Linked DNA regions of Mus musculus. The protein of the gene in region 7 interacts with the protein of the main gene of each other region in a pairwise test. Links are inferred from orthologs where the notes say so. Each region holds a gene or a part of one and is shown on either strand. Other genes may lie near its edges. The genes, in order: Rnf8, Rhoj, Grb2, Nck2, Arpc3, Sdcbp and Wasl.

Region 1 (3,897 bases), on a different chromosome or scaffold from region 7:
ACTTGCTGTGCTGGGTGGCTTCTGACTGAGGAGAGAAGAGCTGCCCTCTGGGAAGGAGGCGGAAGCACCCCGGCCTCCCAGCCCCCAGTGTTCTGACGCTCAGGCTGCTTCCCTTACTTTTATTACTGGTCTGGCCCTGGGAGGCACTGATGTTTGCAACATATAACTTAAGAATTCTACTGATCTGATGGGGAGACAGACAGCTTCGAATGGAGACTCCGCCCTAGACAAAGGCTAGCATGCAGGGTCCAAAGAAGGACAGGGATGCTGCCTCACAGTGAGTAACTATAGATTATCTCCCAGAGGTAAGGAACACCGTCTGCATTCACCACAGCAACCACGCACTCTACAGAATGCTGGGCCACAGGCACTGCACTCTGTCCTCCATCCCGTACCTTGGTCTGCTCCAATTCTTTGTTCTTGGCTTGAATGATTTTCTCAAAGTCCTTCTTGCTGCAATTTAGTTCTTCCATTAGAGCCTGATGCTACAGAAAGAGCAGGTAAGCCATCAGGATGAGCTGCGTCCCAACCCTCTTGTTAGCCATACACCTTTGCTTCCTCCCTCTGCTCGGTCGCTTTACTTTAGGGACCAGTGATGACAATTTCAAAACCAGCCTTCTTTTATTCAGGATGGACGGCTCAGGACAGGGGAGAGGGGACAGCAGATCGATTAGACCAGCCACTGTCGTCTACGAGCTGGCACGCCCAAGAGCCAGCAGTGGTGTCACTGTGACTATGGGTTCTACAGTTCTAGCAGTCTGAAAAAGAGAGTATCTTCAGAGGGGTCATCCACACCAGCACAAGCACGATGTCAGACAAGGTCAGAAAGTATGCCCGATACCACTTCAGACTGATGCGTGACTGCATGACCAAGCCTCGAGACAGGTGCGGTGTGCTACAAGGGAGCACAAAACCCCAGGCCTTCCTCACAGAGGGGCAAAGCCTGACTTTCTGGCCAGTTTCAAAGCATCTAAGCAGTAGTTTAAAAACACTAGAAAGCGCTGGGCAGTGTTGGCACATGCCTTTAATCCCAGCACTTGAGAGGCAGAGACAGGCGGATTTCTGAGTTCGAGGTCAGCCTGGTCTACAAAGTGAGTTCCAGGATAGCCAGGGCTCCACAGAGAAACCCTGTCTAGAAAAAAACAAAACAAAAAAAACCCACTAGGAAGCCAGTGTGCTGGCTCATTGGGTAAAGGTGTTTGCAGTGCAGCCTGCAGACCTGAGTTTGACTTCTGGAGTCCATATGGAGAAGGGGGAAACCCACTCCCCAAAGCTCCCGTCACACATACTGTGGTACACAAGCACCCGTGGTCACACACAATGTCTTTATTTACTGTGTGTGTATGAGTATAAGCCATCTGTGTTCACACGACCTGGGAGGAAGAAAACCGTATCCAGTCTCCGGAAGCTGGAGTTAAAGGGGCTGTAAGCTGTCTGAGTGCTGGCAACCAAGTCTCCAGTGCCATGTGAATGCTTGTACACACACACACACACACACACACACAGACAGTAAAATAAACATATATTTAAATACTCAAATGGGAACAATGCCTATCCTTTCAACCCATGAAGTAGATAAGTTTAAAAAATAAAATCCAGGGCTGGTGAGATGGCTCAGTGGGTAAGAGCACCCGACTGCTCTTCCAAAGGTCAGGAGTTCAAATCCCAGCAACCACATGGTGGCTCACAACCATCTCGTAACGAGATCTGACTCCCTCTTCAGGAGTGTCTGAGGACAGCTACAGTGTACTTGCATATAATAAATAAATAAATAAATAAATAAATAAAATCCAAATAGAATTTTCACCTAATTATTTCTGAAGCCATTTATGCATCTGCCCACAAGCAAATCTAGGCAGGTTCCCTCTCACATAACTGTTAGTACCGATAAGGCTGACAGGTCTGTAATGAGCAAACAGAGAGAACCCTGAACAAATTATATGTAAGCCGCTCACTGTGCTCAATGAGACTTTAACCATCTCACTAACCTTTCGGCCGAAAATCCACCAAATTACTGATCACAAAGCTCAGAGATGAAGCAAGTTTTTGTTGTTTTTTGAGTCAGGGTCTCACTATGTAGACCTGGCTGGCCTTGAACTCAAGAGATGTACCTGCCTCTGCCTCCGAGTACTGAGGTTAAAGGTGTGTGCTTCCATAACCAGCTGAAGGAAGATTTAAAGGTATAAGGAGCACATAAAAGGCTGTCAAGCCCTAGGATGTAGCCTCCCATAAACCTGAAGCAGGCTGAGCCAGAACCTGACCTTGCAGCCATTAGGGAGATTATCTAGGGTGGAGCCTTCCTCCCTAGATCACTCGACTGTTGAGCCACAGTCGCTGTTCCTCTTCAAGATACTGCTACCAGCTGAGAGGCCCCGCAGCTATTAGACTACGCCCTATCCCTCACATCATCACCTGCAGCTGGTTCCAGGCTCCAAGGATGAATTGGCGGGAATGGACTTTCCCCAGTCTTTTATAAAGCTTGTCCACCATTAAAAATTTGAACCTAGTTCAAATTTGAGCAGAATAGTTGTCTTGGTTCCATTATTTCTCAATCCGCCTAGGCTCCCTCTTTTCTTCCAGATTCCAAGATGCCTTTCAGGCTCGAACCCGGACACGTGAGCTGCTGGCCGGCCCCAACACTAGGGTTCAGTGAAATAAACCACTGGCAGTCTGCTGGAGAGCTTCACACCAGAAGGAGCAAGCACTATTCTGTTAATGGGTTTTTTTTTTTTAAGAGGAGAATCCTCTTGAATGATTTCTGGATGCCACAGTGTAGGAATGGTGAGGTACACAGGCTCTCTCGGGCCCTAAGGCCCAGGCATGGCTAACTGCTGCCCTCACTAATCTGGAAGTAGAGTCCCCATCCCAGAGAGCGTCTACAGGCTCTTCTGTCATCACCAGGTGGTGCCTTGATGAAGCCGTAAGCTTCCACGCTGAGATCTGCTGTGTATCTGTGAAGCTCCAAATCTCCAGCCTGATGGTGTGAGCACCTGGCACCTGTTCTGTCTGCAGCCTGGCGGTAACACAGATGAGTGGCTCAGAGGCAGAGGCAGCTAGTGGCCATGTGGTGCCTAGCTGCTCCCCACTCACAACCACCACAGCCTCTGGAAGGAAAGGGTAGAGATTATGTTACCTCCTGCAGGGCCTGCACCAGCTGTTGCTTCAGGTCGCACTCTCCTTGCTCTTTCTCCAAACCCTGAAAAGCCAAAACGAAATGGAAGGTTTCTGCAGTCAAGGGTGTAAGATAACAAAACCTAGGAGCCGGCACCACAAGGAACATGGGGCAGGAAGCGGGCAGGAAGATCCCAGTTTACTTCAAACTGCTCTCAGCAAGGGATGCGAGCAGTTATCTGCTCCACTACCATCACCCGCCTCAGGAGTGGGCTTCCGGCAGCTCTGAAGCACCACGGGGTGACAGTCTAAGTTGCTTTTATTGCCATAATACTCAAATAAATGGAGTCTGAGAACAGAGCCACAAACACCCAAACTCAGATACATCCCCAAGGCTGGCCCCACACTCCTTCCCTGTCTTGTCCCTCTGCACCACCCACCCTCTCCAAGCACTCTCTGCCCAGGCCTGAGCCTCCGCTGCCTTTCCGCCAGCTTCTTTCAGGCAGTCTCTGTTCTTAGGGATTACCTACAGGGTGGGGGATTTCAACTCATTTGGAATTTGATGTGCCAGCCAACCATTCTTCCAATGTGCTAATAGGGAGCACAAATTACTTAATGATTAAAAAAAGTTGGGTTTTTAATACCAAGCAGAATTCCAAACCCAATGTCAGGCCAGGCTACCGTGAGGGCAGAGGGAGCTGAGCTCCCACGCAGCGTCAGGCATGCATCTCAACCAGTCTCTTCTGCCTTTAACCTTGAGTCCCAGGAAAGACTTCGCAGTTGTCC
Region 2 (3,897 bases), on a different chromosome or scaffold from region 7:
TCTGAGCATCTGTCCTGGTGTTTGATAGAATACAGGGTTCTCCTTTCTTTCACACCTTCGGTCACCCTCTCCCACCCTTCCATCACCCTCATTTCAACCTGGGTTCCGATGAGCACATAAGGCACATGAGGCATGCAGTCCTTCAGTTCCGGGACCCACTCCTCCTGAACGTTGTGGTAAGAGGCTGGGTTTACGACAGAGAAGCAGATGAGAAACACATCTGTGTTGGGGTAAGAGAGTGGCCGCAGCTGGTTGTAATCCTCCTGTGGGAAGAACAGAGGAGCGTTAGCGCAGGTTGCTTGCAGAGCCTCTGTGTGGTTCTTGGGACTCTTGCAGGGAAAGACCACAGTAGCAGCGGCTGTGCTCATCACACATTGCCCATTTCCAATCAACTTAAAAAGACTCAACCAGCTTGATTGGGGTAAAATTTATACATACAAATTTTACATCATAATGTCTACCCACTCCTTTATAATTATCTGTATATTAGTTTAAGGTCTAGCCATCATGTTTTGTTACACCACAGATAGGGGGAGTTAGCAAATCCATCTCCTCACAGAGTTATTGATTTTTAACGATGAAAACACATAAAATCGCCTCCCAACACATAACCATTACATAACCACACCTTCCTTCCAGCTGTATGTGAATGGTAGCTTCTAGAATTTATCATTCCTGCCTAATGGTAACTTTGTGCTTTGACCGATATCTCCCCACTTCCTGCCCCTCCAGCAACAACCTGTCTACTGTGCTTCTGTGTCTTCAGAAACTCCCCCACGTAGACAGTACAAGGAGGGATAAAGGTCTCCCGGGACACTGGTGTTGCATTGTCTGGAACATGTATTTAAATTAGTGGGTCATTGGCCCACGAATATCTTCAACAATTAAACATTGTTTTTAAATTGAACACAGAGAGTAAGCTAAAGTACAAAACAAGTATTGTTGCCAAATGAGATTACCTCTGTTGAAGAAATATGTTTGGGACTTGTTCCTTAATGTACCCCAGTGCCACAGTGTGGTCAAGTTAAATGCCAGGTGTTTAGTGGCCAAGGAGTTTTAGGACATTCAATAAATAATCGTTCTATATTTTAATAGAATTTAGTAACACATAACCAATAGAAATAATAGTAATGTGTGCTTAAACATTTCCTCTTATATATGTGTCCATACGCTACATACATCACACAGTTAGACATGTTAATACATACATTATACATATGGGTATGTGTTGTGGAACACTGACCTCTGAGCCATTCCAAGATCATGTGATTACAGGGAAACCTTGCAAGACCGAGCCTGTCGATGAGCCCTCGGCTTTTCTGTGGGCTTTGACTTCGGTGGCTTTCTTCAGGGCCGCATGGAGAACTTTTAGAAAATCGTTACACGTGCTAAGATCCACGAGTGACGGGATCTCAGACATCACTTGTTACTCTGCCATTTTGTCTTTCCACTCAGATCATCACAAATGGATCCGGGGCCAGTTTGATTGGTTTTTCTCATCCTCTATCTATACCCTGTCCACAGCAATTAATTTTATGAGAAAGGACAACTCACCGTAAAATGTGGGATTTAGGGATTTAGGAATGTGGGATGATGAAAGATGGCTTATTGAGTGTTTAGGTTGTTCTTCCAGAGGACCCAGGTTTGATGGCCAGAAACCTACATGACAGCTCACAAAGGTCTGTAACTCCAGGGCCCTCTTCTGCACACCAGGGGCATAGACATTTAAGTACTGCACAGACAAGCCTGTAGACAAACACCCATGCAAATAAAATAATAAAATAAAATTAAAACAATTTAAAACGTGCGGTTTACAGTGACCTCTAAGCGAGCAGCTTCTGCAGCTCCTCCTCCTCCAAGAAAATCAGAATCTCTGGGGCACTGGACGTAGAAGAATCCTGTACTGATTGGTCGGGTGGAGCCTGGAGCGGAGACAGCTGATTTGTGCTTAGCACCGTCATCTTCACCACCAGAGCTCGAGTCTGGGGATCGTTACCAAGGACCAGGTGTTATTACAAGAAGTGACTGTATTATCTCCTGGAGTTCGCGCAGGAGCACTAGACAGATGGCACCCTCAGCCTTCATTTCACAGAAGAGGAGGTCAAAGTAGAGATGTCCGTAATGGACCAATGCAACCTTGAGTTATTGAATATCGAGATATGTGTGCATCCTGACCTGACTTTTGTTTGGGACTGTAATCGCCATGTCTCGGGACTTTAGACGGCAGATTAAGATTTTTTTTTTTTTAATTGGCTATCTAGGAATCTATTACTGCGGGGATGCATTCTTTTTTACAAAGTGCATTGGCCCCGAGTTGCCACAAGATGGCAGCAGACACTGTATATTTAAAATCTCAATGCTTCTGCTCCCTCTATCCCCAACAACCAAACCAAAACAATCGATTAGCCTGGATTAGCCAGGCAAGGGAAGAGCTGATAACTGGTGGTCTGACTGATAGTGTTTATTTTCTCCTTGATTTGCTAGCCATTGAATAAATGCTGCTTAGAAGATAGAGTCGGGGAGGTGAGGTGTGTTCATTTGCTCAGGTCCCCTCTGCAGGGATTTCTGGTGGTTTCAGCTTCTGGGCTTCACTGTGCTCCGGAGTCTAGATTTCTTTGCTGTAGGACTTAGTTCTGCTGTGTCAGTCTGTTTAAAAGAACTGATTACTTACTGGACGTGTGGCTCTGTCAAGGATGCTGCGGGAACTGTATAAAGGTTAAGAACCGGGAATCAAGTCAGGGAATGAGAATGAAAAGACACATATCAGTTCCACGGATGGGAACCGAGGCTTCTGCCCCCTTTAGTTGCTCTGGTAAGGCAGAGTATTTTTATCTGACCGAACTGGAAAATTCCGATGTCAAGTCCAGGCGATCCTCTACATCCGAATTCTTACACTAACTTCCAAAGGATGGTCCTCAGACCAGCAGCACAGGTATCTCTTGAGAGCTCATTAGAGTCTCAGAAATCTAAGGCTTAAGTTCCTGGGGAATCCAAGCCCCACATGCCCCAGTCAGCCTAAAACAGTTTCAGGGTCTCAGGTTATCATACTCCCTTCTTCCTGCCGTCAACCTTGCAGCTCTCAGAATCAAACATCCAACAACAGGATGGTAGAGGAAAAGTTACTTTCCACGAAGGTTTATGCCTGGCAGGTGGGAGCTTGCCACCCTTGGTTGTTGGCTGAGGCTAGGAAGTATGGCAGAAGCAGAATTAATAAAAAAGAACTTGGTGACGTCAAGAGGTTGAATCCATACCTGCTGGTGGCTTGAATGAGTTTTGTGGCGAAGTACACTTGGAGTGTAGATTATGTTACGTGTGAAGATGGTGCGATCAGCCGCGAGGAAGGGCTAAGTGGTCCTTTTGGCACTGAGGACCCTTCTACTGCATCTCTGAGTAACCGGTGCCTGGGTGTTTTCTGAAGAGATGGTGTGTTAACTCATAAAAACCACTAGATAGTGCTTTGGAGGGCCAGGATGGACACAAGAGGACTTGGGCTAAGGTAGGGTAGGTAGGAATTAGGGGCCATGTAGGTTTTTGAGTATCTGTTTTCCCTTTGCACAGAGGTGGGACAGACTGGTCAATTCCCAGGGCCCGAAAGATGTTCTTGAGCAGGTTCATCACAAAGGGACAGTGCTGGAGCCATGAAGCCATTAGCTCCCCTTGAGTTCGGATCCCTGGGAACTCATCCTCAGCTACGAGTCTGGTGCGAAGCCTAGAATGCGCATGTCTGGTAAGCGCCCAGGACCTGCTGTCTGTGTTGTAAGGAAAGCAGCGCGGAGTTCTGCCCGGTGCTTCACGCTCCAAGAGGCTGGGAGTAGAATTCTGCTTCCTTTGGTTTGTGAGCTTCCTGCCATTTATCCCAGGTTGTCGGCACCAGCTCTGGTTTCCATATTCTAAGTC
Region 3 (3,897 bases), on a different chromosome or scaffold from region 7:
TGCAGCAGAAACTGCAGTGAAGGCAGGGCGGGTGAGGAGTGGGGCTAAGCCGCCTCGAGTGCTGCCAGCTCCCCCAGGTTCATGACACTTCAAACCTAAAACCTCAGATCTGCTACAACTAGGCCTTAGAGCAAACACTAGGATTTCCACAGGAAAAGATGTGTTAACATCTTCCCCACAGCCTTACAATCCAGTCAAAGGCAGCAGCTTCTCTGGCAAGGCCAGCAGGAAACACTTACTTGACGGACAGGGAGAAGTCCCCAGGAGCGCTCTCGCTCTCTCGGATCAGGAAGGCCCCGTCATGCCGCTGTTTGCTGAGCATTTCTTCTGCCTTGGCTCTGGGGATTTTGCCAAAAAACCACCTAAGGAAGGAAGGCAAGCTGGTCACCATCTGCTTCCCCACAAAGAGACGGGATGTACAACCTGGCATGTAAATGAGAGCGCTCCTGTAGTGAGTGCTTGTCAGAGACAGAGGGGAGCTCTTTACCTGCGGGTCTCCTGCCTAAGGCTCCCTGGGGCTCTTACCTGGCTCAGGGCCTTCCTGAGAGATGGAGCTTTCAAACAGCTTCGCTTACTCCACACTCTAGATCATAATTCAAGGCAGCAACACAGGCCACTCTTCAGTCTCCAAGGAGACCATTCCCAACATGCAGTCTGAAAGCCAGTTTCTGAGGACAAAGCCCTCCTGCCTCTCACTCATCAGGAGGGACCTAGGAAAGCCCTGACACCCAAGATAAGGGCAGAGGGAAGACAGGCCTTTCAAAGCCATTTCATAATAGGAGTGCAGGGAAAGGCTGGGAAGGCCTACAACTTCGCAGCTGTAGAAGGGTGGATTCTGCAAAAGCAAGAAGGGAGGCTTGCATTGTGAGGAATTAGAGTCTAGGTTGTGGCAGTGATGCACGCCTTTATCCCAGCACCCAGAAGGCAGACAAAGGTGATCTCTTTGGTTCCAGGTCAGCCTGGTCTACATAGTTTCAGGACAGCTAGAACTACACAGTGGGACTGTCTCGAAAAACCAAAGCCCATTACCTTATGGTATCTGAAAAAAAATTTTTTTAAATTATTATTTATTTTATGTATATAGTACACTGAAGCTGAACAGATGGTTGTGAGCCTTCATGTGGTTGTTTGGAATTGAATTTTTTTAGGACCTCTGCCCACCCCGGTTGCCCCCACTCACTCCAGTCAACTCCACTTGCTCAGTCCTTGCTCCTGCTTATTATACATAAGTATACTGTAGCTGTCTTCAGACATGCCACTCCTAACATTATGGGTGGTTATGAGCCACCATGTGGTTGTTGAGATTTGAACTCAGGACCTTCAGAAGAGCAGTAAGTGCTCCTACCCACTGAGCCATCTCGCCAGCCCTGGTATCTGAAAAATTTAAACATGCAATGATAACTAATCACAACAGTACCAGACTGTCTATTAGTGACAAAGCCTCATTTCATTACAGCTATTATGCCATAGGTGTATCCCACCATGCCTGGTTTTATGTGGTGCTGGGTGCTGAACCTCAGGCCTCGTGTATGCTCACCAAGAACATAACTTTCATAATCATATTTACAATTTTTTATTTCAAGCTAGAGGAACAGCTCAGCACTTACGAGTCCTGGCTTTTCGCCCCAAGGACATGGGTTCAGTTCCCAGCACCCACATACCAGCTCACAACCACCTACAAGTCCAGTTCCCGGAGAGAATGATGCCCAATTCTGGCCTCTGAAGGCCTGTGACAAAGAGACATACACATAGGTAAAACACCTATATACATAAAATAATAATGTTTTCATGGTTATTTGTTATTACTGCCACCTAAAGCTAACTTTATAATCATCTTTTCATTTTCTAAAGCCACCGTGTATCCACATGGGGGTTAGAAGACAACCCTGGGGGGTGGGGGGTGTCATTCTGTTCTGACAGCCTTTTGTGAATTCCAGGGATGAAATCCAGGTCACCTGGCTTGTGTGACAAGTGCCTTGCTTGCTGAACATCTGTGTAGCCCTACTGGGGTCTGTTAAGCTGTTCTGAGGCAGCCCTCATATGGCAGCCCATGCCATCCTACAAGTCTGTGCACCAATATGGCTGCCTCGGAATCCCACACTCCTGCTTAGCTATCTGAGAGGTGAAAATGTAAGAGGAAGCCACCAAGGCTGGTGTCTGCTTTGAATCAGGGTTTTATGTCTGGTCAACAACGGCCTACCAAGACCTGAGAATTATAGGCATTTGCCACAGGCAGAGCTCACAGCTGGCTTAATAAACAACTACCCTGCAAAGTATTTTTAAAAAAAAATTCTGCCAGATTAAAACTAAGATTCAGGCAAAGACATGAAGCTGCAGGGCAGGGTGCCCAGAGACTGCGGGAGTCTAAACACTCCCAAGTCTAGGTTTCAAATCCTTCTCACTCTGCATCTCTGATGCCACACACACCATGGAGACACCTTCCTGTTGCTACAGATGCTTAAGAATGAAGCCTACAGTGCCCAGGGAGCAGCCACACCAGGGAAATTCCCTACCAACAGACGGAATCACCTCAAAAGAGACCAGAGAAGCTTCGCTCACTCTATGGATGGTCCAGCAGCATCTAGTCATGGCCATAGGCTGATCCCCAGTGACAGCTCCCTCACCTCCACACTCACCAGGGAAGGGCAAATGTTCTCAGCACCCATCTTCCTCTCCCTTCCCCGATCACCAATCACATGCTTTATTTATTTATTTCAGGTATATGAGTACACTGTAGCTGTCTTCAGACACACCAGAAAAGGGAATTGGATACCATTGCAGATGGTTGTGAGCCACCATGTGGTTGCTGGGGTTTGAACTCAGGACCTCTGGAAGAGCAGTCGGTGCTCTCACCTGCTGAGCCATTTCTCCAGCCCAGTACATACTTTTTGTTTTGTTTTGTTTTTGTTTTTTCAAGACAGGGTTTCTCTGTGTAGCCCTAGATGTCCTGGAACTCACTTTGTAGACCAGGCTGGCCTCGAACTCAGAAATCCGCCTGCCTCTGCCTCCCGAGTGCTGGGATTAAAGGTGTGCGCCACCACGCCCGGCTCAGTACATACTTTTTAAACAATTACTCTTTTGAGAATTTCATATAATGCTTTCTGACCATATTCACCCTCTTTTCTTTAAAGCTATAAAGCAGTGGGTTTAAATTAAAGTAGCCTAAATGCACACTAAGGAAGAATAAAGAGCAGCACTTTCTCTCATGCCCCTGCCTTTCATCAGGAGTTGCTGGCTGCAGGCAGTGTGTGCATCTAGGCTTTCTTTATGGGCATCAACCCGACATTTGTGTGAGCCCCAGTGCTTTCTCATTCCCAACTTAAGAATCAACACAATTTTATTTTCAGCTTAAAATTTTAAAAATTTAATTTTAGATTTATACCTATAATTCTAGCACTGAGAAGGAAGAGGCAGGAGGATTACTGTAACTTCAAGGCCTGTCTGGGTTATATAGTGAAGCCATACTTCAAAAACTAAAATAGAACAAAAACATTAGTTTGTAAGCCATTTCACAGATCTGTGTCTGTGTGTATGCTCCAGGCTCACTAAGTATACAGTCTCGAGTTTCCAGCAGTGGGATGAACAGCAGATAGCATCCGGTCGTCGATACTCTTTCACAGGCTAGTTACAAACCTGATAAGCTTCTAAAACCTGGTCTGCAGTGCTAGAGGCAGATGCCAAGGCCTTGTGCACACTGGGCGAGTCCCTGAACACTGACTGAGCTATACTCAGAGCATGTCGGGTTTCTTTCAATGATGATAGTTATGTATGACTGCATGCCTACAGACAAATGTTCTGCTAATCTTTAAAAAAGACTGGATTGGTGTGTGCTGTCCTAAAAATAGCAATCAAGGAAGCCAAGAGTAGGAGATGTATTTTCCAATGCAGTATTTATAG
Region 4 (4,603 bases), on a different chromosome or scaffold from region 7:
ATGGATTTAATTGGGGGCTTGCTTACAATTCCAGTGGCTTGGTCCACTGTCATCACGGTGGGAAGCTTGGTAGCAGCCAGGCATGTTGCTAGGGAAGTAGCTGAGAGCTATACTCTGATCCACTGTGCAGCAAGCACACAGACACCCAGACACACAGGTGCTGGCTAAGTTCAAAGCTTACTCCCAGTGACTCATCTCCTCCAACAAGGACATACCCTCCTAATCTAAATAGTTTACTAACTGGCCTGCAAATATATGAGCCAAGGGGAGTCCTTCTTGTTCAAATCTCCCTGGAGATCTTATACAGAATCAGTGAGAGGAGTCTGAGGCCACTTTTCAAAGCAAAAGCTTAAAAACTGTGTCCATATCGTCTTACTTATTTAGCATAAACTAATTTTAAGTAGGGCTAAACTATTGGTTAGAGTTCTGCCTTCATTGTTGTAAAGCTAGATAGTAACAAAGATGAGGTCTGTAACAAAGAACGGATGAAGCTAGCATCTCCGACTGGAAGAGACTGTTGGGTGTGCTGATTTTGTACAGGATGCCTCCTAGTGCCCTCGTGTCAGGCTACGTGCCAGGTACTTAACATAGAAGGCAGGTAAACATCTCATGTGATAAAGCCGAGGAAGTTGTGAAACACCTGTGTAAGGTGACACAGTTCAGGAGCCTACGGTCAATGGCTGCGAGGACTATAGCCAAGCTTCCTCACGTTACTTATGCCTGGGAACTTCCTATAAGAAGGCAGGCAACTTTTCTTTCTTTCTTTTTCTTTTTTTGTTACGTAGGGTGAATTGTTTCTGCCTTAATAAGGAGGAAACAAGGGCTAGGGTTGAATCTCATTAACATAAATGTGAGTCGTCCGACCTGAAAGCGGAATTTATTTGAATATCAGGGGTTCCTTTGGGGTATAAGGAGCGAAGGAGCTTGGAGAAGAAACCTCTGGATCCAGTCCTTCTCTTCGATCCAGGGTTCTAGCTTTCCAAGTTTGCTTATAGGTTAGCTACTACTCAAGTCTGGGAGAGCAAGGTTTCCTTCTAAAGCTTTCTCAGCCTCCTGTACTAAAGAATTCCTGGGCTCTAATAAACTGGCCAGGACGCTGCGGAGGCAGCTGAGGTCGGGTTTCCTCTCCTCCCCCACTAGGAAGTGGTCCCGCCTGGAGGTTGGGGGTGGGGGGGATGGAGTAAAAAAGTGTCTGGATGGGAAAGTAAATAAATGCAAGGCAAATAAATAAAGAAAATGCCCACAAGCAATTACTGGGAGGAAGTGACATTTTTATGTAAGTCACTTTTCTGACAGACACCAGGCCTGTTTGGCTGAGAGTGCCGTGGGAATGCTTGGGGGGCGGGGTAGGGAGGTCGCTGTAAGGCTCCCGACGCACAGCCGGGTGCGGAGACCACCCGGTCTCGTGGGCTGCAAGTGGCACCTCCTTATCCCTAGCAGCCCCTCCCGGGTGCCCCCAGCTCCAATCTAGAGCGGGTTACGGCTTGAAGCCCCCAGGCGGCGCTTTCCCGAGGCCTGGCTGGGACTCCCAGGTGGGTCCCCCGCCCCGCGTGCGCCGGGCTGGGCCGGCCCCTGGGCGGCGTCACGGCAGCCAGGGAGGAGCGCGGGCGGGGAGCGCGCGGAGGCGGGCGCTGCGCGGGAGGGTCGCCGCCGCGGATCGCAGGCCGGTGCGCGCGGCCGAGCGGGCGGCGGCGGCGACGGTGGTGGTGAGGAGGGCTCGGCGGCAGGCAGGCTCGGGGCTCCCGGGCCGGCGGGGTCCGCCGGGTCCAATTGCGTCCGCTTGGTGGCGGGAGGAGGGAGCGGTGCAGACAAAGAGCGGCATCTGGGCGGGCGCAGCGCGGCCGCCGCCCCGGGACTCGCGCTGCTGCCCTCCGGCCTCGGCGTGCACTGTGCGGCGAGGTAAGGCGATGGCGGGGGCTGCAAACTTGGGCCGGTCCGTGGAGTTGGAAGAGAGGGGCGAGCGGGCCGCGGCCGCCCGGGGAGGGCCAGGGAGCGCGTACCCCTGCGTACCCGGCCGGTGCCCTCAGCCCCGCCGCGGCCTGGCGTCCCCGGGCACCCGCACCTCGGATACACACACCTTCCTGCGAGCCCTCGCCTCCCTCTGCCTGGGGCTGGCGTGGGGGTGGGGCGCCCTCCGCGGGCGGACTCCGGGGACCAAGGACCCAAAGCCCTCGGGAACACTAGCAGCCCTGGCCTGTGGGCGGGCGTGGGACCGAACAGTGGCCAGGTCGCCGGGCGCGCGTGCCTGGGAAGAATAGCCTGGGATCTGAGGGCCACAGCGCTAGGAAGCGGGAGGCTGCGATGGCCGGGGAGAACTTCCAGTATTTAGAACTATTCGTGATCCGGCACAAAGCTGCTGTCACGTTCCATAAAGGAGGTCCTTGCCTCGGCGCAGGGCGCTTTTGTGCCTGGTTCCTTCCAGTCCCTGCGCCCGGTCCCGCATTTCCAAGACTTAAACCTCCTCAACCAAAGTTTTTCCCGGTTGCTCTGCCCCCTCAGTTTATTTATTCAGGGCGATTTAAGCAAGTGGTTCTGCAAGAATTTGATGTGTGACTTTTAATGCCCCGGTGGCACCTCCCTTTTGAGCGCTGTTAGCTTGGCATTGTGTGGAGAGGTTTGATTTGCAAAACGCTGTTATTTATACACAACAGCGATCCTCCCGGAAGGTGTGCGCGGGTGGTGGTTAATGGATAGCAGAGGTGACTTACAGTAGTATTGTGAACAGCTTGGGGACACAGCTGGGTGCCAAGTGGAGTGGGCCCTGCCACCCTAACCCATTCAGGTTGGCCGCTTCCTCCTTATTTGGCTCTCCTTATTTTGCTAACAGGTTTAAGGCCAGTCTTGCCAAGTTTGCGTCTGTGTGTGGGATGAACAGGTCCGAGTTTGGGCTGGAGGTGCACAGGCCTGCTCCTTGGTTGACCCAAAAAGAAACAGCCCGTTGGCCAGTGGGCGTGGCTTGCTGGTATCCTCCCCTGGAGACTTCTCTGCTCCTCTCCCAATACAGGCTTTTCTGCAGAGATTTTGAGGAGGAATGAGAATAATTTTGGGTGTGTTTCCAGCCTGGGTTTTTTTTTTTTTTTTTTTTTTTGGTATAGTTAGCAACTGTGGTTTTTCTAGTCTAAAGGTCACTACTTTATCAGAACATCTCAACTGTGCTGTGGGCACTCCCTCCATTCACTTTCCAAGTGTTTATAGATACAGAGGTAGAAACCGGACTTTCTCGTGCATGTGCCTGGTTTATGTAGCGAAGGCAGCCAGTGAACACAATGGAGAAAGTGCACTTTAGACAGATAAGGTTTTACACCTTCGGGTCTTTCCTAAGTGACCACAAGTGACAATCCTCCCTTAAACTTTCTCACCTCCTGGTAGGTTAGCGTAGTTTTGATTGAAGAACGTAAAGGTCCCAGTGACCTGAAGCTGAAATGAGAACTTTGTGCAGCTGTAAAGCTTTGACTTACAGCTTACTGCCTGTCTTGCTCTCAGTTTCTTACACGTGCTTGAACAGAGCCCCAGTTTCAGGGTTGGAAGTTGCTATGTGAGCTCTGGACACTTGATAGGCGATTTGCCCACCGATGGAGAGACGACTGACCCCCTTTAAAATGGGTCGAACTTATAAAAGGTGGTTTCCAACTCCTTGTAGGCTCTTCAGTCCATTTCCAGGCTTTCAGTTTTGCTTTCCCCATGGGTCCTTGCTTCAGTCTTCTTCCTCCCTTTCTCTTTGATCCGGGCTTATTCCTGACCTCTGTCTTGAACATTGGGGTACTGAACATTGCTGACAAACAGCAGCACCCAGGTGTTTGAGAAATGTGCTCTCATCCTTGCTAAATCTCTCCAGAGCTTTCCTTGTTGGAGCAGACCGAATGACCCCTTGAAAACAGCCCGATAGTCACTGATTGCATAGTGACCTGTAGTCCTTTATTTGATCATTTGCATTAGCTTAATTTGCCCTGGCAAGACTGGGCTTGGTTGCTTTGTAGGGCACACATGCTTCTAACTGACTGGCTTGCAGTGTGCACTGGGGCTGATGAGGCTCGTGGAAATGATTTTCTGATGTTCATAATGAGCCTTAATGACTGAAGAATTCAAGACTGCTTGTTGCAAGTGCAGAGCAGTGTAGGGAACAGTGGTTGGGGAAACTTGTAAGCTAACATTTCTTACAAAAGGACCGGGAAGCTTCCCATAGAGACTTAGGAAATTCATTTTCCCATCCAGAGGGACTTCAAATGTTGCTTTGGAATTGTTTCTCTTTCCTAAAAAAATGAGTGATAGAAACATTTCTCAAGGTGTTTTCAAAGGACATATGTGAAAAAACAATGATGCCATTTGTGTGCTGTTCTGTGTAAGTTAGGCAGCCTTTTAAAACAAGCTATCAGAGGTATGCAGCCATGGTGTTTTTTGTTTTTTTTTTGTTTGTTTGTTTGTTTGTTTGTTTTTTCGAGACAGGGTTTCTCTGTGTAGCCCTGGCTGTCCTGGAACTCACTTTGTAGACCAGGCTGGCCTCGAACTCAGAAATCCGCCTGCCTCTGCCTCCCGAGTGCTGGGATTAAAGCCGTGCAACACCACGCCCCGCAATGCATTTCTTTAGGCAATCAGAGTAGTGTAA
Region 5 (4,505 bases), on a different chromosome or scaffold from region 7:
CTATGCAGGTAGCCCAGGCTGGCCTCTCACTTACTATGCAGGTTAGCCCAGGCTGGCCTCTCACTTACTATGCAGGTTAGCCCAGGCTGGCCTCTCACTTACTTCACAGGGGACGATGACTTTGAACTTCTTACGCTCCTGCCTCTGTCTCCCATTGCTGGGATGATGGATCTAGATAACCACAGTACTGGCGAGTAAACCTAGTGCTTCAGACATGACAGGCGAATGCTCTACCAACTCAACTCTACTCCAGTTCCCACCAGTCTGCTTCTAAACTTATAAATGAGCAAGATACACCACACCTTTGGTGAGTGCGTATGAGCTAAAGGAGAGGGAACTGTGTGGATGAACAATCTCAAATGCTGGTCCTATGATTTCGAACTCAGAAATCTGCCTGCCTCTGCCTCCCAAGTGCTGAGATTAAATGTGCATGCTACCAACTGCTCAGCGTGATTTTTTTTTTAAAGATTAAAAAATATCTTATAGCCGGGCGTGGTGGCGCATGCCTTTAATCCCAGCACTCGGAGGCAGAGGCAGGTGGATTTCTGAGTTCGAGGCCAGCCTGGTCTACAGAGTGAGTTCCTGGACAGCCAGGGCTACACAGAGAAACCCTGTCTCAAAAAAACAAAAACAAAACAAAACAAAAAATATATTATGTGTGTGCACTATATCTGTGGACGGGTATTTCTGTGTGTATGCAGTACCCACAGAGTCCAGCAGATGGTGCTGGGGTCCCTGGAGCTGGACTTATAGGCAGCTGGCACCTGCTGGATGTGGATGCTGGGGACAAAACTCCAGTGCTCTTAAAGGGTAGTTTGAGAATGCTGGGAATTTCCCTCCATTAATGGTAAACAACCCTTCAAAAGCCAATATTCTATAAATCTGCCCCACCTACTAAAAACTTTCATGCCACATCATTTTTAGAAAACTGTATGCCTACATACTAGAAGAGGGCATCAGATCCGATTATAGGTAGTAAATTGCCCTGTGGGTGCTAGTAACTGAACTCAAGACCTCTGGAAGACAGTGTCATCCGGAGATGCGGGGGCTCATTTGGACAGTAACTCTGGGTCTTCACATATACTAACTATAGGAATCATGAATCTTCCAAAGCCAAACACGGTGATGCCGGACGGGCTTGTCATCCTGGCTACCTAGGAGGCTGAGGCAGGAGGATCACAACTACAAGGCCAGTCTGGGCAATTTTATAAGACCCCTTTTCAAAAGTAAAAAAGATGGGGGAATACTGCTCAGTGGTAGAGCATCTATGTAGCATGCCATGAGGCCCTGGGGTCAATTCCCCACTGCTACTCAAACACATGCACACTGTTCAAAGTTAGGCTTGCTCTCCTACTCATTATAAATAAGCCTTATTTATGCCAGCCTCTTGCCCACATCCCCGGGTCCCCTGTTCTCCCAATCCCTGTCACCAGGTACTGGTTTTTGTTTTTAGTTTTATTTTGCACATGACCATGCATGTGTACATGTGTGTGTGTGTGTGTGTGTGTGTGTGTGTAGTGTTCATGTTCACGTGTGTGCATATGTGTGCATGTAGGTATGTATGCTCATATCCACAGGTGGAGGCCATAGGTCTGTTTCTTAACTGCTTTCCACTTTATTTTTGAGACAAGGAGCCTCAGGGAACTCTACACATCCCCAGCTCCGAAACTGCAGACACGCTTTGCATGCCCTCCCCCCGCCCCTTCTGTTTTACTTGGGTGCTAAGCATCCAGACTCAGGTCCTCTCATTTGTACCACTGAGACACCTCCTCAGCCCCTACTATCTCTCTCTATATATATATTTATTTCCTGTGACATCGTCTTTCATTGAACCCAGAACTTGCTTATTTTTGGCTGGGCTGGCTGGCCAATAAGCCAGAAGATCTGCCTGTCCTTTGCCTCCCCAGAGCTGGGGTCACAGGCATGAGCTGCTGTACCTTGTGACCCCACCTCCTGCATGCAAGCCTCTTTTTTTTTTTTTTTCTTCCCCCATTTCTTGGGAGACAGGCTTTGCAGTTCTGTAGCCCAGGATGGCCTAGAACTCACTACATAGTCCACATTGGCCTGAACTTTGCCATCCTCCTGCCTCGGTATTGGGATGAGCGATAACTGAGCGATAGGGGTAGGCTAACTGCCATCTATCTGTTTTCGTCACAGCAGTTGTTAAGATAGGAAACTACTTCCTATGTGCATTTGCATGGTTACTGTCTACCCGTTAAACTGTGAGCTCCTTGAGTGGCCCTTAGTCGCTGCTGTCAACAATGCTGGCTTCACAGCGAGAGGTCAGTAACACTGGTTCAGTGTGGGTGCACGCTATTCAAGCGTCCCTTCGCTAAGCTGCAATCGGCATCAATTTCCTCCCACTCGGATGCACACGAAAAAGGAAACCAGCGCTGGCTCGGTGGTGGTCAGGGAGTCGGGTGGGAGTCAGAGCAGGGAGACGGAGGAAGGGGTCCATCAGGGAAGTGAGGTCTGACAGGTGACTAGGTAGCAGGCCGATCCCACTCCCTGGGGTGGAGGAGGAAGTGGAAATGACAAGGGGGAAATTTAAAAAAAAAAAAAAAAAAAAGGAGAAGCTGGACCTTAGACTTAAAAATAAATTAAAAGCCAGCCATCGTTCTTAGGTTCGAGGCTCTAGGGTGGGATCTGGGAACACGGCAGGGTTAGGGGGGAAGCGGCGGGGCAGGCGAGCCGGTGTTGGAGGCAAAGGCTGGAGATCAGGGCGGACGCTTCCTCTCTCCCCGGCCTTATGACACAGATCTCCTGCCACCCCTCGGACCCTCGCCCCGCTCGGCTCCCCGCCCCTGGGGCTCGAATGCTTACCGGCATCTTGACGGTGTCCGGATTCGATCCAGAGAAGCCGAACTCAGAAAGCGTTTCCGACGACCGAGCCTGGGTGGAGTGGGCGGAAGTAAGCCGGAAGAGGCGGGCGGAAGGAATAAACGCACTTCCGGTGACTTGCTCCGGCTGCGCTGACCGCAAGTGACGCCAGGGGGCGCGTCAGCGTGAGGCGATGACCGTGGCGCATGCATAAAGCACGTTCAGAATAAAAGGCTGGATTTTGAAATTGAAGACTCCCTCGCAAGTGGTTAATAATCAGCTCCCGGTTTTGTTTTTTGGGTTTTTTTTCTCATTTCCCGGCTTCAGCTTCAAATCCAGTACCACTCAGTCGCCTGATTTACCCTTCTGCTATGTCTAGTTTTTTACTTTTTTTTTTTTTTTTTTGGTTTTTCGAGACAGGGTTTCTCTGTGTAGCCCTGGCTGTCCTGGAACTCACTCTGTAGACCAGGCTGGCCTCTAACTCAGAAATCCGCCTGCCTCTGCCTCCCGAGTGCCGGGATTAAAGGCGTGCGCCACCACACCTGGCTTAGTTTTGTACTTTTACCACAATGCAAGGTGGGGGACATCAGTTCTCACTTTCCACCGTGATACTCTCGGAACCAACACAGTCTTCAGAAACACCTACACCCTGAGCCGTCTTGGCGGCCAATATTTTTTATTTTTCAATTTTTTCTTTGCTAAGAGTCGCATGAAGTCCAGGCTGGCATATACATATAAATGAATATGAACTGATCTGCACCCACTTGTGTTCAGGAATTACAGATATGTGCCCATCACTCCTGTTATTTTTATTTATTTTTCTTGCTTAGTTTTATGATGCCGACGGTGGTGTCTATCTTCCTTGTCATGTTAAGACAGTCAGGGACCACCACAGGGGTAAAGGAAAGAAAAGTCCTGAGCCTACCCCTTTGACCTGTCTGTCACCCACTAAATGTGTATATCATTTCTACTCTTTCAACAAGGTATGGTGTATGTCTTCCCAGATCATGGCAAGGACTAAGTGGTCATGAAAACCAAGCATATTATAAGGGCCTGAGTGATGCCACATGTCTGAGGGGATGACTACAAACCCACCACTGACACCCATCATATATGTATGTAAGTATGTATTTTGCCTCTCTGGGTAGCCCTGGCTAGTCTGAAACTTGCTTTGTAGACCAGGCTGGCCTTGAACTCTTGAGATCCACCTGCCTTGCCTCCCAAGTACTGAGACTGAGGGGATATGTAACCACCATACCCAGCCAACCACTTTTTGTTTTTGGACAAGGTATTAACTATGTAGCCCAGGCTGGTCTCTACAATGTCTGGCTTATACTCCCTGTTCTTTGTATGACTGCTGAGGAGCCAGGTCCTGGGGTTGAATCCTAGTTCCAACATGACTAGCTGTGTTATTCTGAGCAACTTAATGTACCTCTCTGTGCCTCTGTTCCTCACCTAAATATAGAGGCCTCAGTATTTACCTCATTGCTTAGGGAGGCTGAAATGAGCTACAAGAAAAGTATTTAGAACTAACATTAGACATGTTCTCTTTCTTGGGTTTTGGAGACAGGGTTTCTCTGTGTAGCCCTGGCTGTCCTGGAACTCACTCTGTAGACCAGGCTGGCCTCGAACTCAATAAATTTGCCTGCCTCTGCCTCCTGAATGCTGGGATTAAAGGTGTGCGC
Region 6 (3,897 bases), on a different chromosome or scaffold from region 7:
GTGCTATGGGTTAACTCCGGTTCCTGGGGATTTGGCATCATTTTCTGACCTCTAAGGATATCAGGCATGCATGTGCTACACAGATATATACGCAAGCCAACACTCAACAGAAACAAATAAATTATAAAAACAATTAAGTGATACTTTGGGGTAACAATTCCATAATTTTTTAAGTCAAAGACAACTTTATTCACCTCTTAACCGATGAAATTGGGGCTAAACAAACAAACAAACAAACAAGAAGTACCTCTAACAATAAACTCACAGGATATTCACATTTATGTAAATTCAATCAGGTTTTGAACCAAGCACAAATAGAAAAGAGGAAGGCTAGGGAAACCTTTCCTACAGTCTATGGTGGACCAGACATGAAGCACTATGAACAGGCAGCATCCCACTGACTTCTGCCAAGCAGGTAAACTAGAATGGTGCTAACAGACTCCAAGGCATCTCTGCTGAAATACACTGCACTCGAGCGTCAGTGAGGTCAGGACTTTATAATGTGTCTTCAACACACAATCATGCCCTCAGCTTTTTGAGTGGAAAGGCAGTGTTGGCTTTTCCTGCCTTCGTCAGCCTCATTCAGTTAAATAATGTAATACTTATTTTCTATGTGGAAAGCTGGAATCACTGAGCTAAGGAACATTTATTAGACTGAAAGAGAATCCAGTAAGATAATGGTGGAGGAGGAAGAGGAGAAGGAGGAGGGAGAAGAGGAGGAGAAAGAGGAGGAGGAGGAGAAAGAGGAGGAGGAGGAAGAAAAAGAAAAGAAGAGAAAAGAAAATGATAAATTGAGGTAAAGACCCAGCACGTCGTTAACCTTTTAGGATGTTGTCTGAGGAACTGGTTTCATGTCTTTAGTGTGACAAGGGAGGGATTCACAGACTCAATCACTAAGACCTGTTCATAATTTAAGTTCAAAGTTTATGGACAGAGATAACTTGCAGAACCATCTCATAAATGATTATCACTTAGTTTAAAAGTGTACCCCCAATTCTCACTGGTCCATTTCCCTTTACTTTCCCACATGCTGGCTCATGTGAGGGCCCGAGTCTGATCACACACACTCTTCCACATGGTTCTATAAGCAAATGGCATCCTTGCAGTAAGGAGGATCAAGAGAAAAGCTTGGTGTCTGCCTGCAAGTTCCAGCATGGCTTCGTCTAGCCGGTGTCTCCAAGTGAAAACTCTGGATTCACACTATTATTCCCCACTGTAGATGGGTTATTACAGCTAGCCAAACTATTTTCATTTTAATGATTTGACACTAATATTCTGTGATCTATTTAGATAAATTCAAAAATATACTTACATTATCTATTGACTTAAGTCTGAGCCCAATTTTTCCATCTTGATCCTTACACAAAATAACTTCACGGATCCCTTGCTTAATTTCTGCTCTCCGAATTCCAGCATCGTTACCTGTCACAGGTGCTACCATATAGTTCACACTGGATGGTCTTGCTACCAACTGCTAAGAAAAATACAAATTTGACAGTATTTAGAAACACAGCAATTAACTGGAACACACTCAGTTACAGTTCTTATAAATATTGCTCCATTAACAAATTCCCTCTAGTGAAGTCTGATTCCCACAATAATGCCAGTGGTTTTCTTTCCCCCATTACCCTTGGATAGAGAAAACTCAGTGACTTGTTACTTAAGTCAACTGGTACCCCTGTGTATGGGATCTGCTGCTGAACTGCATCAGCTAGCAACCACATAAGTGACACCAGCTGTCTCAAAAGACTGCATTGCCCAACGAGGTCATGCGACCTTAGACTGGGTAAGTGCACTTCCATGAAGCTGGTGCAGCAGGGAAAGCAAGCATGAATCATTTCTCAGAAGATATTCTGTCGCCAACAACTACACTGCAGTTTGCCTTGATTTCAAACATATTTTCCTAGAACTTAAACGTCACACTAGACTTTTGCAACTTTCTTTTTTCAGGGATTTTCTGTGATATAATCATAAAATTATCAATTTAAAAATAAGTTAATATGAACAAGGCTTTAAGTCAGGAATGAAATAAAAAGACAACATAAAAACATATTAAACTGCTCTTGACAAAAATCTCCGTGTGTACACATTGGGATTAGGAAAACCGAGGCACCAAGAGCAGGGCAGTAGAACTGTGGCTGATCTCATACAGAAGGTAAGTCAGCTCCAAATGGACTCCCAAAGCCATAACTGTGGAGATCTGCACATAAAACTAGGAGAAAACGCAAGACAAATCTCTCAATGACCTTTGTATGTAAGGAGAGCTACATCCGACTTAATGAGATCCTTCACAGCCGGGGTGGGGCCCAGAGGTGGGTCGTTTGAGAACAGCCTCAAAACCTATCTCAAAACAAACAAAAAAGTTCTTCACAACAAAAGCAGCATTCACCAAACTGAAAGCAGCCCATGGAATGGGAGAAGTTATTTGAAAATCATCATGTAGTAAGTGGCAAATATCCAAATGCATAAATAACTCAAAACTCAACAGCAAAAACAGCACACTCAATTTAAAAATGGGCAAAATGCCTACATACAAGCTTTTCCCAAAGATAACAAGAGGGTGGGTGGGTGACAGATCATTTATCATTAGAGAATCACAGCCAGAGAGATGACATCACCACCCCGTGTGTCAGTGTGCTGGGAACAAGCACAAGACTGACTCCAAGTACTACCACTTCATTGTCAGACTCCATTTAATCATAGGGAAAAACAAAATTCAGGTCCCAGACCCTAGGGGAGCTGGGGACTTCCCGATAGCTGAACAGCCTCCATTAAAAGGAAGCAGCTGAAAGCGTCCAGACATCTCCAGGACAACTGCTCCATGTTGCTGGTGGGGTCAAACCAAGTTCATGTTCACAGACCCAAGAACCTCCTCCAATTGGTGAAAACTCCCTTGCTAAGCCTTTATGTCAAAATATGATTGAGCAATGGTACAGCCCGCCGCACTTCTGCTTTACGCTTTCTTCCTTTAAATATGCCCTACAACATCCTTTCAGGCTACTCAATCAGTAGTGGCTTGATTGCAATAAATTTTGTCACCTACATTAACCTGGTGCTTGAGTCAAGTTGAATTTATGTTGGATTTAAACAGACCCCTCAGCAAGTATTATCTATCAAAAAAGACAAAAGTGCTGAAAAACGCAGGGGAAGGTCTAGGGGAAGGTTTAGGAGTACCCAGCCTTTAACGTAGCCAAGATATTTTAAAATTAACTGAGGGGTGTGTGTGTGTGTGTGTGTGTGTGTGTGTGTGTTCCATCCCTGAATCCAAAGAGTTCCTGGGTGTGTGGCTGGAAGCATGCAACCCAACAAGAGCACAGAGCGGTGTAGCCCAAACTCACTGGTACAGTATACCTTCTGTATAAAGCTGTATAAAGCTGTATACCTTCTGTATAAAGCTGGGGGGAAAAACTAAGTGGAACACAAAAGCAAAAACTACACGGTATGTGAAGTGAATTATGTACTAAGTGAAATATATGCTAAGAGAAATGTGCAGAACAAATTAAGTAAACAAAACGATAGAATAAGAACAGAGTATACCACAGAGCCTTATAAATGCAGATACTTCTAAAGTAACTTCAGATTACCTTCAAAGCAAGAAATGTACAAATGGGGAGGGGACACTTGTATGATGCTCACATAAAGGGATCAAAGTATACAGACCTGGGCAAAGGAAGTCAGATACACTGAAATAATAGCTATAATTGGCTTTTTTTCTTTGTTAGAAGATAAATTTTCTATAAACATAGCAACTAGCATTTTTGTTTTCTCCATGCCTCTTTTTACTTTACTGTTGGTTGACTTTACATTTTTTACTTTAAATTTTTTAAGATTTATTTTTATATAATTCATCTATATGTCTGTATTTGCCACTTCTGTGGATGCCTGAAGATGTCATAT
Region 7 (3,897 bases):
CAAATTTGCGTGTCTTTATAAATCTAATTTTATGATTTTATAAAATAAATGAAAAAAGATTTACTAATTAAGTAGGTTAAGACAAATTTTATTAATCTCTCTATTCTGTTTTCATACCTTTGAATACTAATTTATGTATGTGCTCGCTCTAAAAAAAATAAATCATTAATTTATCTTTTTGTTCTTAGGAAAAAAATGTTGGACAGCTTTCAACTGACTGATGAAATGCTGGTTCTCAGGGATTCAATGTCCTCTTCTTCCTTCTGCAAGTATTGCACGTATAGGCAAAACCACTCCCTACCCCCACAATATAGAAACACATAATTACAAATAAAATATAAACAAGATAAAATCATTTTTAATGTATAATAGGTTCTTGAAATATAAAAAAGAAAAAAAGAAAATCTGTATTTCAAAATAGAAAGAGTTTAAATAATTTATATTCTGAAATGTTTTATAAGAGATCACACGGTAACCTTTACATTAATAATCACATCATGCTTTGGTCTGTTTGAAGACAAGGTCTCATGATGCAGTTATCTAGGTAGCCCTCCATGTAGAGCAGGCTGGCCTCAAAGTCACAGAAATATGCCTGCTCCTCCTCCCAGGTGCTGGGTAGAGGTCATCGTCGTCCCTTGCCTGGCTCAAGGCTTTTGTCATACCAAAGTAAGCAAAGATGTAGTGACACTGGACTGAATTTGTCATCCATACATTCAAAGATTCTGCTCAAGGAGGGGTGCATAGTTGTTCACCATGATGCTAATCTTAGAAAATTTAAAAGGAAAAACAGTCAAAATAGATCCAAAGTTACCTTGTCTTCGGAGTTCGTTTTTAACAGCTTCTACACCTCCTGTTTTTTCAATAAAGTCATAAATAACTTTTGATGTTTCTCTGTCTTTAAGCTGGGCCTCAGAGATCCCACACATATCAAAAAGATTCTTTAATTCTGGATCCAAATTATTTAGCTACAACAGATAAAACAACTTCTAAGTAGGCAATTGTGTTCAAAACAATCATGGCAAAACTTATAATTTACCTGTGTCCTTCTGAAATTAAACTCAGACTTTTAAAATGGTTATGTGATTTAAATGCTAACACTAAATTTTCTATTATGAAAGATAAACATGAGAGATTTTCTATTGTATTTCATCTCTCTTCCACGCTGTCAAAGAGGGCATTCTATTCATATTTTTATTAACCCACTCAATACCAGTTCTTGTGTTCATCTATTCCACCTCTTTGCTGTGCCCAGAGGTCCTTGGTAGTACCTCAAAGTTTAATCTCAGTTTAGAAACAAACTGGGTTATTTTATAACTAGATACTAAGAATTTGTACTTATTTTTCCAAAATTTGATATTCTTCTGAGATCATTACTTAAAAAAAAAAAAAGAAAAATCACTTTTTTCTCTATGCATTCAAAGCAGAAAATGAAGGAATACAAAAATTTTCCCTTAAAGGACTTAGCAACTATGACAGAACAATACTATGAATTCAAACCTCAGCAGCATATAGCACATTCAAATTCTAATAAGCAATATTTTAAAAACTGTAAATAAAAAAGTCCAAGATAAGCCATAGCATTCCTATATATTTTGAGCAATAGGAAATATAGCTTAAAAAGATACTTACATCAAAACCTGTATTTGGATCCCATCCAACATGCCCAATGTGCCTAACATGGAAAACAGATAAAATTAGAAAACAAATGCAGACAAGGGCTTGTGAAATAATGCATAAAGATACTTGAGATGTGCTGCATACAGCTCAATTTCTTTTGCTTCTAGACAAGTCTTACAGGTATCCTCCTGCTGATTATACATCAAAGTGGAAAAAAAATCCCTTTATTTTCAAGAATTAAATAAAAAAATAATTACATCTAATTTTTTCAGATAGAAAAGTAAACTGTCAGATTTATGACACAAGACTGGCTTGTTGTATACATATGCCTACAGACTTGGAATTCTAGGCCAGCTTGGGTGACCCAGAAGATACAACTGTCTCAAGATGTCTCCAACCATTAGAAAGGACTACACATGGGTGTTCTTCCCTGGAAGCCAGCTCCTTTGGAGTTCTTACTTTTTCCTAATCCATTCATTCTCTCTGTGCAAAATAGAAACAACAACAATAACACAAAAACCCCACCAAATTCCCAAAACAGATGAACATATACATGGTTCCCATATTTTGGATATATGTTCCCCATAGGTTCATGTATTGGAACACTCTGTTCCTAGCTGGTGGTGTCATTGGGAAGGTGGCAGAACCTTTATGAGGTAGAGCCTTGCTAGGAGCATGTATCTCTGGTGACAGACTGTTTTATAGCCCACCCCCACTTCCTGTTCTCTCTGCATCCCAATGCCAGGCGGCTCTCATACTCCTATAGCCAAGCTTCTCCATCACGATGGCTGACCTCCTCTCTAGAAAAGAAACCAAAATAAACTTACTCCTGTAAGTTGTTTTTATGTTGACTCTTCTACCACAACAACAGAAAACAAAGAACCTCGTTTTTTTATTAGATATTTTCTTTATATACATTTCAAATGCTATCCTGAAAGTTGCCTATACTCTCCCTCTACTACCCTGCTCCCCTACCCACCCACTCCCACTTCTTGGCCCTGTTATTCCCCTGTACTGGGGCATATAAAGTTTGCAATACCAAGGGTTCTCTCTTCCCAGTGATGGCCTACTAGGCCATCTTCTGCTACATATGCAGCTAGAGACACAAGCTCTGGGGTTACTGATTAGTTCATATTGTTGTTCCACCTACAGGGTTGCAGACCCCTTTAGCTCCTTGGGTGCTTTCTCTAGCTCCTCCATTGGGGGCCCTGTGTTCCATCTTATAGATGACTGTGAGCATCCACTTCTGTATTTGCCAGGTACTGGCATAGCCTCATACGAGACAGCTATAACAGAGTCCCTTCAGCAAAATCTTTCTGGCATATGCAATAGTGTCTGGGTTTGGTGGCTGATTATGGGATGGATCCCCACGTGGGGTAGTCTCCGGATAGCCCATCCTTTCATCTTAGCTCCAAACAACAAGAACCTCTTAAACCAAAATTGTATAAGAAGCTAAAAATTCAGAGCAGTCCAGAGTACACAAAAAGAATGAAGATCAAGCTGGGTGCAGTAGTGCACACCTGTAATCCCACATACTGCTCTGAAAGCTGAGGCCGAGGATCCCAAACACAAGGCCAGCCTAGGCAGTATAGCAAGATCAGTTTTTTTACTTTTTTTTTTTAAATGATGAGAACACAAAAGATGAGTCTTACTGGAAATTACTTGGTGTTCCAATATCTGCCTTGGTTAATCTCTTCTTTTTAGCTTTTCCTTTCTTCTTTTCTTTGGTGTGGGAGATGTTGTTGACTTGTGAACCATAAAATCTATTTGTTGTGATTTCTGGATTTTTTATGTCAACTGTAGCCATGGGTAGATTGGGACCTACAAAGAGAGTCAAAATGGTATGAGAGGCATATAATTTATGAAAATAATTTTATGGAATCATAACTTATAACTTACTTAACCTATGGCTGCTTACTTACAACTTAATATTAAATCTTATAAAGTACACTGATCTATATATAAAACTTAACTAAAGTGATCCTTTGTTGTTTTTTATTGTAATTCTGATAAAATGATATATATAGCAGAAAAGCTATATTTCAACCTATTTACCTATAATTTATTTAAAAAGCTATAAAATTTTTTTGCTAACACTCCCCCCCAAATTGCCAGACTTAAGTCCTCTAATCTTTTCCCAAGAGTATATATGAAAGTTGGCTATCTGAAGGCACAAAGCCTTTAATTATATAAAAATATTTAAAGTGCAAGAAATTCTAACACTGAGAACTGCAAAGATCGAATGGTAAGAGCACCTAAGGACTTTAGAGAATGTTAGTA

The links.
Region 1: the proteins of Wasl (region 7) and Rnf8 interact in binary tests that used the Homo sapiens proteins (3 or more experiments, as listed by UniProt). The two-hybrid records come from large-scale screens. The link is inferred for Mus musculus from reciprocal best matches to the Homo sapiens genes WASL and RNF8.
Region 2: the proteins of Wasl (region 7) and Rhoj interact in binary tests that used the Homo sapiens proteins (3 or more experiments, as listed by UniProt). The two-hybrid records come from large-scale screens. The link is inferred for Mus musculus from reciprocal best matches to the Homo sapiens genes WASL and RHOJ.
Region 3: the proteins of Wasl (region 7) and Grb2 interact in binary tests that used the Homo sapiens proteins (3 or more experiments, as listed by UniProt). The link is inferred for Mus musculus from reciprocal best matches to the Homo sapiens genes WASL and GRB2.
Region 4: the proteins of Wasl (region 7) and Nck2 interact in binary tests that used the Homo sapiens proteins (3 or more experiments, as listed by UniProt). The two-hybrid records come from large-scale screens. The link is inferred for Mus musculus from reciprocal best matches to the Homo sapiens genes WASL and NCK2.
Region 5: the proteins of Wasl (region 7) and Arpc3 interact in binary tests that used the Homo sapiens proteins (3 or more experiments, as listed by UniProt). The two-hybrid records come from large-scale screens. The link is inferred for Mus musculus from reciprocal best matches to the Homo sapiens genes WASL and ARPC3.
Region 6: the proteins of Wasl (region 7) and Sdcbp interact in binary tests that used the Homo sapiens proteins (3 or more experiments, as listed by UniProt). The two-hybrid records come from large-scale screens. The link is inferred for Mus musculus from reciprocal best matches to the Homo sapiens genes WASL and SDCBP.

Annotation. Positions count from the first base shown.
Region 1 is NC_000083.6:29,628,259-29,632,155, reverse strand, and holds part of Rnf8 (E3 ubiquitin-protein ligase RNF8), read right to left. Parts: intron 3,197-3,897; coding exon 3,134-3,196; intron 486-3,133; coding exon 396-485; intron 1-395. UniProt on the Homo sapiens protein: E3 ubiquitin-protein ligase that plays a key role in DNA damage signaling via 2 distinct roles: by mediating the 'Lys-63'-linked ubiquitination of histones H2A and H2AX and promoting the recruitment of DNA repair proteins at double-strand breaks (DSBs) sites, and by catalyzing 'Lys-48'-linked ubiquitination to remove target proteins from DNA damage sites.
Region 2 is NC_000078.6:75,388,045-75,391,941, reverse strand, and holds part of Rhoj (rho-related GTP-binding protein RhoJ), read right to left. Parts: intron 264-3,897; coding exon 99-263; intron 1-98.
Region 3 is NC_000077.6:115,649,532-115,653,428, forward strand, and holds part of Grb2 (growth factor receptor-bound protein 2), read right to left. Parts: intron 363-3,897; coding exon 240-362; intron 1-239. UniProt on the Homo sapiens protein: Non-enzymatic adapter protein that plays a pivotal role in precisely regulated signaling cascades from cell surface receptors to cellular responses, including signaling transduction and gene expression.
Region 4 is NC_000067.6:43,444,129-43,448,731, forward strand, and holds the start of Nck2 (cytoplasmic protein NCK2), read left to right. Parts: upstream 1-1,622; 5' UTR 1,623-1,899; intron 1,900-4,603. UniProt on the Homo sapiens protein: Adapter protein which associates with tyrosine-phosphorylated growth factor receptors or their cellular substrates. Maintains low levels of EIF2S1 phosphorylation by promoting its dephosphorylation by PP1.
Region 5 is NC_000071.6:122,390,316-122,394,820, reverse strand, and holds the start of Arpc3 (actin-related protein 2/3 complex subunit 3), read right to left. Parts: upstream 2,944-4,505; 5' UTR 2,830-2,943; coding exon 2,824-2,829; intron 2,283-2,823; exon of another isoform or gene 1,510-2,282; intron 1-1,509. UniProt on the Homo sapiens protein: Component of the Arp2/3 complex, a multiprotein complex that mediates actin polymerization upon stimulation by nucleation-promoting factor (NPF).
Region 6 is NC_000070.6:6,382,603-6,386,499, reverse strand, and holds part of Sdcbp (syntenin-1), read right to left. Parts: intron 1,475-3,897; coding exon 1,313-1,474; intron 1-1,312. UniProt on the Homo sapiens protein: Multifunctional adapter protein involved in diverse array of functions including trafficking of transmembrane proteins, neuro and immunomodulation, exosome biogenesis, and tumorigenesis.
Region 7 is NC_000072.6:24,623,425-24,627,321, forward strand, and holds part of Wasl (neural Wiskott-Aldrich syndrome protein), read right to left. Parts: intron 3,439-3,897; coding exon 3,270-3,438; intron 1,673-3,269; coding exon 1,630-1,672; intron 966-1,629; coding exon 812-965; intron 1-811. UniProt on the Homo sapiens protein: Regulates actin polymerization by stimulating the actin-nucleating activity of the Arp2/3 complex. Involved in various processes, such as mitosis and cytokinesis, via its role in the regulation of actin polymerization.